Cricetulus griseus: one gene and its partner. The protein of the gene in region 2 purifies or fractionates together with the protein of the main gene of each other region. This does not show direct contact. Links are inferred from orthologs where the notes say so. Each region holds a gene or a part of one and is shown on either strand. Other genes may lie near its edges.

Region 1 (4,220 bases), on a different chromosome or scaffold from region 2:
TTTTTCCAAAAGGCATGTTCAATTTCCTGCTTCCTCTGTGTCTGGCTGACAGCTCCTCCTGACTCTACCCTTCTTCTTCCCAGCATCCTCTCACTTATGCTCTACCGCCTAACCTCTTCCTGTCTAGCTATTGGACAGTCAGTACTTTATTAACAATGAGAATAATACATATTCACAGTGTACAAAAAGGATTATTCCACAGCAGGGGCAACACTTTAAACAGTACATCTTAAGAAGAAATCATCTTCATAATAATTCACAGGTAAAAATGCCTGGGAGAATGGGATATTTCCATAAGATAATCTTAAAATAATGTGCATTCCCCCACACCCATTCACACCATGCCAGATACCAGGAAAAAAAATGGCAGTGTCAAACATGCAAAGACACAACAGTAGAAAGAGACATTCTGGGACCAAGGCTATCAGGGCCTTACCTATCCGAGATTCACCCATCAGAGCTTTGCTTCCTGGTGGGCTGATCCACTGAAATCAATGGTCACCTGTGTCTCTTCTGACATGGCCACTGACACTGGATCCTGTTGCTATGACCTCCTCTGTCTCAACTTCTTGGAGCTTATGGCCTACAAACTATTCATTACTGCCAAACCCCTACAATGTGATTTTCGAAAGCTCACCCTAACCTCTACCACTTAAAAAGGAACTGTTCCAACAAGCAATGCTTGGGACACTACTCAAATATTTGCAAAATGATGGAACCACTTGCCTAATGCTGAACAGAAAAAGCAACTCACATTGGATCAAAGCCAGAAAACTACAAAACCCCTAAAAGCAAACCAAGGGTAAATCATACATGACATTGGCCAACCAACCATGTGCTCAGGGCAACGCAGATACAGCAGTTCTTTTAATTAGAAAAGTAGTAGCACGGCCTAAAACAGAACGATACAGAAAATAAACAATGAACACACAGCAGTTGTGTTCTTTAGTGAACAAATTCGTGTAGCCTAAAGAAGACACCAAGAAAGGAGATGGAAAAATTAATTTTCCATACAATTTTTGACCTACTTATAGACCTAAGTTCTATGTCAAAAGAAGAAAGGTATCTCTGCAGGCCATGAAGATCAGCGTCCTGGCTTCTTTATATTCTCTGGCCACAGAGCACATTACGTAGCCAAAAATGCACTGAGACATAGCACGTGGATAGAAAACAAAATGTATCATGAGAATATCTTCATCTGATAAACAGCGCTACTTTTATAGGATGGACGGAAAAACCTATATAAAGCAAAATTAAGGCGGTATGTTTTAGCCTGAAAACTCATTTTAGGGACAGGCATTAGACTTCCAAATCTTCAGAAGCCCAGGGTTGAGGGCACGGCAAGCCCCGCCCACGTCCGACCTTCGAGTCAACCCGAGTTGCTGGGCCCCTTTTGCAGCACCTTGTGCGACAGTTCCTGAGGCGCTTTTCGGCGCTGCTGCCGTGTTGCGCGGCGTTGGCTGCTGGACCCGGCGGCGGCGTTGGCTGGGCCGCTGCGCTCTCCACAGGCGTGCTGTGGCGGTGGGCTCGCGCTGGGATGAGCGCGCGCTGCCGGGCCGCGGAGCGGAGTCATGGTGAGTGGCCGGCGCTGACGGGCTCGGACGTGGCGCTCCGGCCGGGCGGAAGCCAAGACAGACCTTTGCTCCGGCCTCCCGCGGGCTCCAACCCACACCCCGATCTCCGCTGAAGGGAAACGTTCGCGCCTCCTGGGAGGTCGACCTGTTAACCCCCACAACAAATCCTTAGTGATGGAAGTGCCCTGTGAGAATCTTTCAGGGAGCCTTTGCAAACACCTTTTCCTAACTCAGCAGAAATCTTATTTCCACCGCTCTTGTTTAAACTTTATTGAGGTTCTAGTGCCTGTGGGTTAAAAGTTCTCTTCGACGTCTGAAAAATCGCCCTTTTTGTTGCGGAGGTTGACTTACCCTTGTTAGCGAAAATCCCACACCCGACAGTAAATTGTGTTATCAAAATTGCAGTTTTTTGTTTTTTTTTTTTAATTTTCGAGACAGGGTCTCACTATGTAATAACCCTGGTTGTTCTAGAAACTCAAGAGATCCACCTGTCAATGCCTCCCACGTGCTGGGATTAAATGACATTAAAAGCCCACCATCGTGCACAGCGTCAGAATGCAGTTTTAAAGACTATATAATATATATAATATATATGGCATATATATTATATATATTATATATTTTCTTCCAGCAGGCCCGGTGCTGCGCTGCACTCTATTTAGTGCACCTACTTAGGACACTGAGGCAGAAGAATCGCAAATTCATGGCCAGCCTGGACAATTTAGCAAGACCGCCTCAATATAAACGGAACTTTGACAAAGGCTGGAAGAAGTCCCACCAGTATAGCACCTTGCATGTGTAACACCCTAGATCTTACCCCCACCCCCAAAAGGAAAAAAGAACCCACCTTTCACTGAGATGAGCTCAGGGTTGTGATGAGTTTGGATAGAAAATTGGTGGCAGTTAGAGAAGTTAAGATTTACTACTCTTTCCCTCCTTTACCAGGCCAGTACAGTGGTAGCGGTTGGACTGACCATTGCTGCTGCAGGATTTGCAGGTTTGTTTGTTTGGGGTGGGGGGGTGGAAGACTAGACTGGCTATGGATTAATTTGCTTATTGTATTGATTTTGGTTTTAGGCCGTTATGTTTTACAAGCCGTGAAGCATGTGGAGCCTCAAGTAAAACAAGTTTTTCAAAGCCTACCAAAATCTGTAAGACTTTTTTTGCTAAATGTATTGCCTGTATCTCAAGACTGGAACTGCCCTATAGCCTGAATCCCACAGGTCCAGTGAGGAGTTGCAAACTTTGTAGTGGTGCCACACTAGCAATCAGTTGTCACATGTGACAATGCAGGGTGGGTGACTTTACAGGGTTATCATCTGTCTACCACCTGTCTTCTGGGATCTGCTGTGTCACATGAGACATATGTGGCATTGCCATGCTGTTGAATGTAACTACATTAAAACAGCACACACAGCTGCTGCCCCTCACATCATGGACAGCTTGGGCAGCAACATTAAGACCTTGGTGTCCATTATTTCCTGCTAAGGTTGAGGTCCTGGTGGACCTCACTACCCTCATTTCCCCTGCACTACCTACCATAAACTCATTTTTAGGGGCTGCCTTGAATCAGGTGTGATACTGCTGTTTTATGAGAATAAGGGTGACAAGGGTCTCCATTCACTCCTGATTTTGTTCTTGTCTTTTATCTGCAAGACAGTTTGTTCCAGTTTGGCTAGAAGAAATGAATGTTTAATACTTGTTATAATAGTTACCACGCATCAAGCTAAAATACCTTGGGAAATATACTTGTAGGTCTCTGAAACTTTTTTTTTCAATTGATTTAACCAACCTTCCATTTAGTTCACTAATCTTTCCTTCCAATCCAATTTTCCTTTCAGGCCTTCAGTGGTGGGTACTATAGAGGTGGGTTTGAACCCAAAATGACAAAACGCGAGGCAGCATTAATACTAGGTGTCAGGTAAGATTTCTACTAGTTATTAATATGATAAAGGATAAGGTAATTCCTGTATTTTCCTGTAATTGCAAATGAAATGTTGAACAAGGATTGTCAGGTCAACTACATTTAGTTTTGTTTTTAAGCACTGTTTTGTTTTAAGCACTGGTTCTGATTTAGAAAATGCATTTTACATCTGTGTGAGGTTTATAAACAGTATTAAATCTGGCCCTTCTGCATAGCTGTGTATATGTGTTCAATTTATGCTTCCATTTTCAAATTAGCCCTACTGCCAATAAAGGGAAGATCAGGGATGCTCACCGACGGATCATGCTCTTAAACCACCCAGACAAGGGTAAGTAACCATGCAATTTTCATTAAACACTGCTATTAATGGGGAAACTTAATTCTTGGTCTAAATATACAGATGAGTAGTCTCCCAGGTGTCTTAAATAAGTGAAATCCACCAGATATGGTGACATACACCTGTAGTTGCAGTACTCAGGGACCAACCTGCCCTGCAGTGATACCTTGTCTCACCAAAACAAAGGTTTAATGAACAAAAGAGCCATTGAGTTGGCAGTAATAATAAACATTAATACTGCTTTTAGGTTCTGTGTTTGATAAAATGTCTTCCAGTAAGGAAGGTCACAAATACTATTTTGGTTGGCTTGTTTTTAAGACATCTTACTATGTAGCCAAGGTTGGTCTAAACCTCATGACCATCCTCCTGCCCCAGTCCTAAGTGT
Region 2 (4,184 bases):
CTACCAGTTTTTTAAATTGCAAAATAAAGAGAATAATATATTTCCATACAGGAGGGGTGTAAGGCCCTGGGAGGCAATGCACACAAAATTGAGTAGACAGACAGCAGCATCCTAGAATCAGAGCTCAACTGCTGGCTTTGCTCCCAGACCAGACCCTGTTTGGTGTTAATAGTCTGGCAATCAGGTGATGCTCAAAGTGGAAGATTTTGGGAGAGCAAAGCTCTGCCAGTTACAGTCCACTAGAAGGCCCTCTAAGAAAGCCCCCAACAGCTCTAACTCACTGACAGGCCTCAAGGTCCCAGGCCAAGAACAACCAATTCACAGCTCACTCCAGGCAAGCAGTAGCTGGGGGCAGGAGTTATAAACACAAGGCTTCAACCTTGAAACCTGCTGTTAGCAACTCACTTCCTTTCCTATCTGGGAATATGACCTCAGACAAGGTTCATGGGGGGGGGGGGCGCTGGAGGGTGGGCAAAAATGAGGCTTAAGTCATCGAAGTGCATCAGGAAGGGCCCAACTTTCAGGCCTGTGTACAATGTTCCTCCAATACACAGTAGCAGGCCCTGGGTGTGGATCAGACTGACGACAGGAAGGAACTTGGGTTATCCCTTGAGCCCTTTTAATAGTTACTGGTGTCACTGCTAGACAGGAGGAAGGTCAGGACTATATGGTGCCATTTGTGACAGTATTTCTGGGTCCCCAGAGGCCTGCACAGCAGGTGCCCAATATATACTTGAAAGTGTGTGACTGTCCATGAATTAACACTTTAATCAAGTCACTCTTAAGTGCTGTTTGGCCAAAGCTGCAATCTCACACACTCCATTCCCCAGGCAGGGTTTCCATATGCTTCTAATGCTGCCAAGTTAAGGCTCTGGTGGTTGCCCAATTCTCACACAGTGCTCCTGTCTGCATATTCAGGTCAGCTTGGCACTGATATCTCTCACCTCTGACCTCATCTTAGTTCTCTGGATTTTTTCCCTCTTACCTTTCCCCCATTGCAACTGTACCCTTTACTTCTAGGTAAGCTCTCATGATTCTTTATGCTCTGAGTTCCTTCACTGTGAATACCCTCCTTCCTACCTAGATACTGTCAAGATGCAACATTGCAAAGGCATGGTGAGCAGGGCGGTGGTGGCACACGCCTTTCATCCCAGCACTCGGGAGGCAGAGACAGGCGGATCTCTGTGAGTTGGAGACCAGCCTGGTCTACAAGGGCTAGTTCCAGGACAGGCTCCAAAGCCACAGAGAAACTCTGTCTCAAAAAGCAAAAAAAAAAAAAAAAAAAAAAAAAGCCCCAAAAAGCAAAGGCATGGTGGTGGCACATACCTAATTCCAGCACTTGGGAGGCTGGGGCAGGGTGATCCCTAGAGTTTGAAGCCAGCCTGAGTCACAAAGCAAGACAATGCTCCAAACCAAAAACCTTTAACAACCTTCAGGGCTGGAAAAATACGCCATAATCTGACTCCCAGGTGAAAATTCTAGACTCCTCCCATTTATACCTTCTTTTCCTATTTGGAGGTGTACTGGGGATTGAATCTAAGGCCTCTCCCCTGGTGGGCAAGCATTATAACACTGAGCTATGCCCTGGAACTCATGAAGTCCATACTAGTTCTGAACTCCTGATCTTCCTGCCTCAGCCTCCCAAGTGCTGGGTTTGCAAGTGTAGCCACTATGACCGCCTGAGAAAAGCTGAGAGTTGAATATGGAGAATGCAAGGTACGAGCAATCAATACAGGTCCTCACAAGATGTCGGTGGCCCAATTACAAGGCAGGGATAATATGGTGGCAAATCAACAAAACTGGGTCCAAAACAGCCTCTGACTCTTGCATAAAAGAAGAACCTGGAAAAGTCAAATTCTCGGAACTTCAGGTCCCTTGAATGTAAAATGGGGATGACTGAGAGAGATTAAATGACAATCTACATAAAGTCTCAGCTCCAGGCACAGCACTGTAAGCAGTTAACTGCCACCTTCTAATTATTAAATAACAGGCTCCCTAGTCGGGTGTGATGAGGCACACCTTTGATGCCAGCACTGGAGAGCCAGGGGCAGAGGCAAGTGGAGCTCAGCAAGTTTAAGGCCAGTCTGATCTACTACAATAGGACGTTAGGAGACAACCAAGGCTACCTATAGTGCTACCCTGTCTCAAATAAGTACATAAGCAGACAAGGAAATAAATAGGTTCCCCCAACCAACCGCCTTCCAATTACTTAGGGGCAAAACTAAAGAACCTGCCTTTTAAAGGTTGCACAGGCGACATGCATGGTCTCCCACAAATACTCAGCCTCCAGGTCTCGATTTCAGCTCAGGTCCCAGGACTACCACTTCCTTGGAGGAGCCAACTGTCAAACGCGGTTAAAAAACCAAGCGACATCGCCGAGTCCTACCACTCAGGAGCCGGCCCACCCAACAATCACCTCCTCCCACAGCCCGTAGAAGCTTGCTCACGCCGGGGCCCGGCCCGCGGAGGCTGGACCCCGCCGGGGCTTGCTGCCGGCCGAGCCTCGGTTCCCAGGCCCGGCCAGCGGTCGTCCCTGCCCGAGAGTCAACGGCCTGCGACCCCACGACGCGCCACAGACCCTACTTCCTGTGGGGGCCGGGGCCAGCCTCCCGACTCTGACTCGACCTCCCTCCCCGATCCTCACCATGGCGGCCGCTCCGCCTCACAGGGCCGGGTGCCGCTCCCGGACCCAGTGGGACCAGCGCTGGGGCTGCCGGTGGGTCAGAGGTCAAGGGAGACTGGAGAGCGCGTGCGCGACGACGCGACGACGCGACGACGCGACGCATTTCCAGGGGCGTGACTCTTCCGGTATGTATGTAGGCGGGGCCTGCCTCGGGATCTGAAGACTACTGGGCGGGCGATGGGCGGCTGCAAACCTCCGGTGGCCTTGGAACTGGTGCACCAAGTTGTTTTTTTCCCTTCATCTCCCCCGAAATAGTTAGGAAGGAGCCATCATATGAAATAAGCCAAAGTAATAAAGGGCTGGATGTCAATTTCTCTGGAATACTTAAGAAACTAGGTATTTCAAAATAGGTTTAATTCCAGATTCCTCCTGCTTGTGAAACTACTAGATACCAGATGGGATAGTTTCCACCCACTTCAAGTCTATAATGTAAAGCCTTCTTCTCAGTGAAGTCCATCAAGTCCCCCCACTACACTGATATGCCCACCACGCTGCTGCTTTAGATGGACTGGGGTGTGATGGAGAATGTACTGTGTATGTTCATCTTATTGATTATTGAATAAAGTACTAATTTGGCCATGAAACAGCAAGTTAGACAGGACTAGGAGTCAAAGAGGATTCTGGGAAATGTAGTAGAGAAGTGGTGATCCAGGCAGGATGAGACATAGCAAGGAGACTCATGCAAGCAAAGGAAACAAGAAGCGTCTTCCCTTTCCCCTTCACCTCCTCCAGCGGCGGGATGTGAGCCACCGGCAAGGAGGGACGCCAATAAGGTGTCTGATAAGTCTTATAAAATATATAGATTTATGATAATTAAGACTGAGCTAACAGATGAGAATCCTAGTCACTGGCCAAGCAGCTTTGTACCTAATACAAGTCTCTCTGTGCATTAATTTGGGCCCTAACTCGGGCAGGCGGCTGGCGTAAAGCACACGTGGCGGTGGGGCTCGGGCAGCTTTTGGAGGAAAGATTTATCGTAACAGGGGTGTGTTTTAAAAGATAGTTCTGGAATCCTTTGGGGGGGAGCCTGGGGAGTGGGGTGGCAAGACAGGGTTGCTCTGTGTAGCCCTGGCTAGCCAGTGCTGGAACTCTGTAGACCAGTCTGTCCTTGAACTCACAGATCTGCCTGCCTCTGTCTCTTGAGTGCTGGGATTAAAGGCGTGCACCACTACCACCCTGCACGTTATAGAATCTTTATGTCTCGATGTTGCCAGGTTTGTTTAAGCGTCTCTGATTGGCTTGCAGAGGGTTCTCTTCTCTCCAAGTCTTCACAAGATCTTCTCTGGTCTCTGTGTTTGCGACAGTTCTGTCAAGACACCCATAGTTCACACACTAAACAGTTGGACCTTTTGGAGTGCACAATTCAATTCTGCCTTCACCACCATCCAGTCTAGAACATTTCCTTCCACCCAGCAGTCACTTCCCTACCCTGGAAACTACTCATTTGCATTCTGCCACTATGGTTTGCTCTGGATATCCCATAGAATCAGAGTCACAACTA

Evidence for each region. Proteins that work in one complex are often made in the same cells at the same time.
Region 1: the proteins of Pam16 (region 2) and Dnajc19 purify together in Homo sapiens (affinity purification with mass spectrometry; 3 studies listed by BioGRID and IntAct, with this or other methods). This does not show direct contact. The link is inferred for Cricetulus griseus from reciprocal best matches to the Homo sapiens genes PAM16 and DNAJC19.

Annotation. Positions count from the first base shown.
Region 1 is NW_023276806.1:115,389,220-115,393,439, forward strand, and holds the start of Dnajc19 (mitochondrial import inner membrane translocase subunit TIM14), read left to right. Parts: upstream 1-1,420; 5' UTR 1,421-1,571; coding exon 1,572-1,574; intron 1,575-2,519; coding exon 2,520-2,571; intron 2,572-2,651; coding exon 2,652-2,725; intron 2,726-3,415; coding exon 3,416-3,495; intron 3,496-3,755; coding exon 3,756-3,826; intron 3,827-4,220. UniProt on the Homo sapiens protein: Mitochondrial co-chaperone which forms a complex with prohibitins to regulate cardiolipin remodeling.
Region 2 is NC_048600.1:42,041,052-42,045,235, reverse strand, and holds the start of Pam16 (mitochondrial import inner membrane translocase subunit TIM16), read right to left. Parts: upstream 2,801-4,184; 5' UTR 2,787-2,800; coding exon of another isoform or gene 2,648-2,786; coding exon 2,645-2,647; intron 2,342-2,644; exon of another isoform or gene 2,235-2,341; intron 1-2,234. UniProt on the Homo sapiens protein: Regulates ATP-dependent protein translocation into the mitochondrial matrix. Inhibits DNAJC19 stimulation of HSPA9/Mortalin ATPase activity.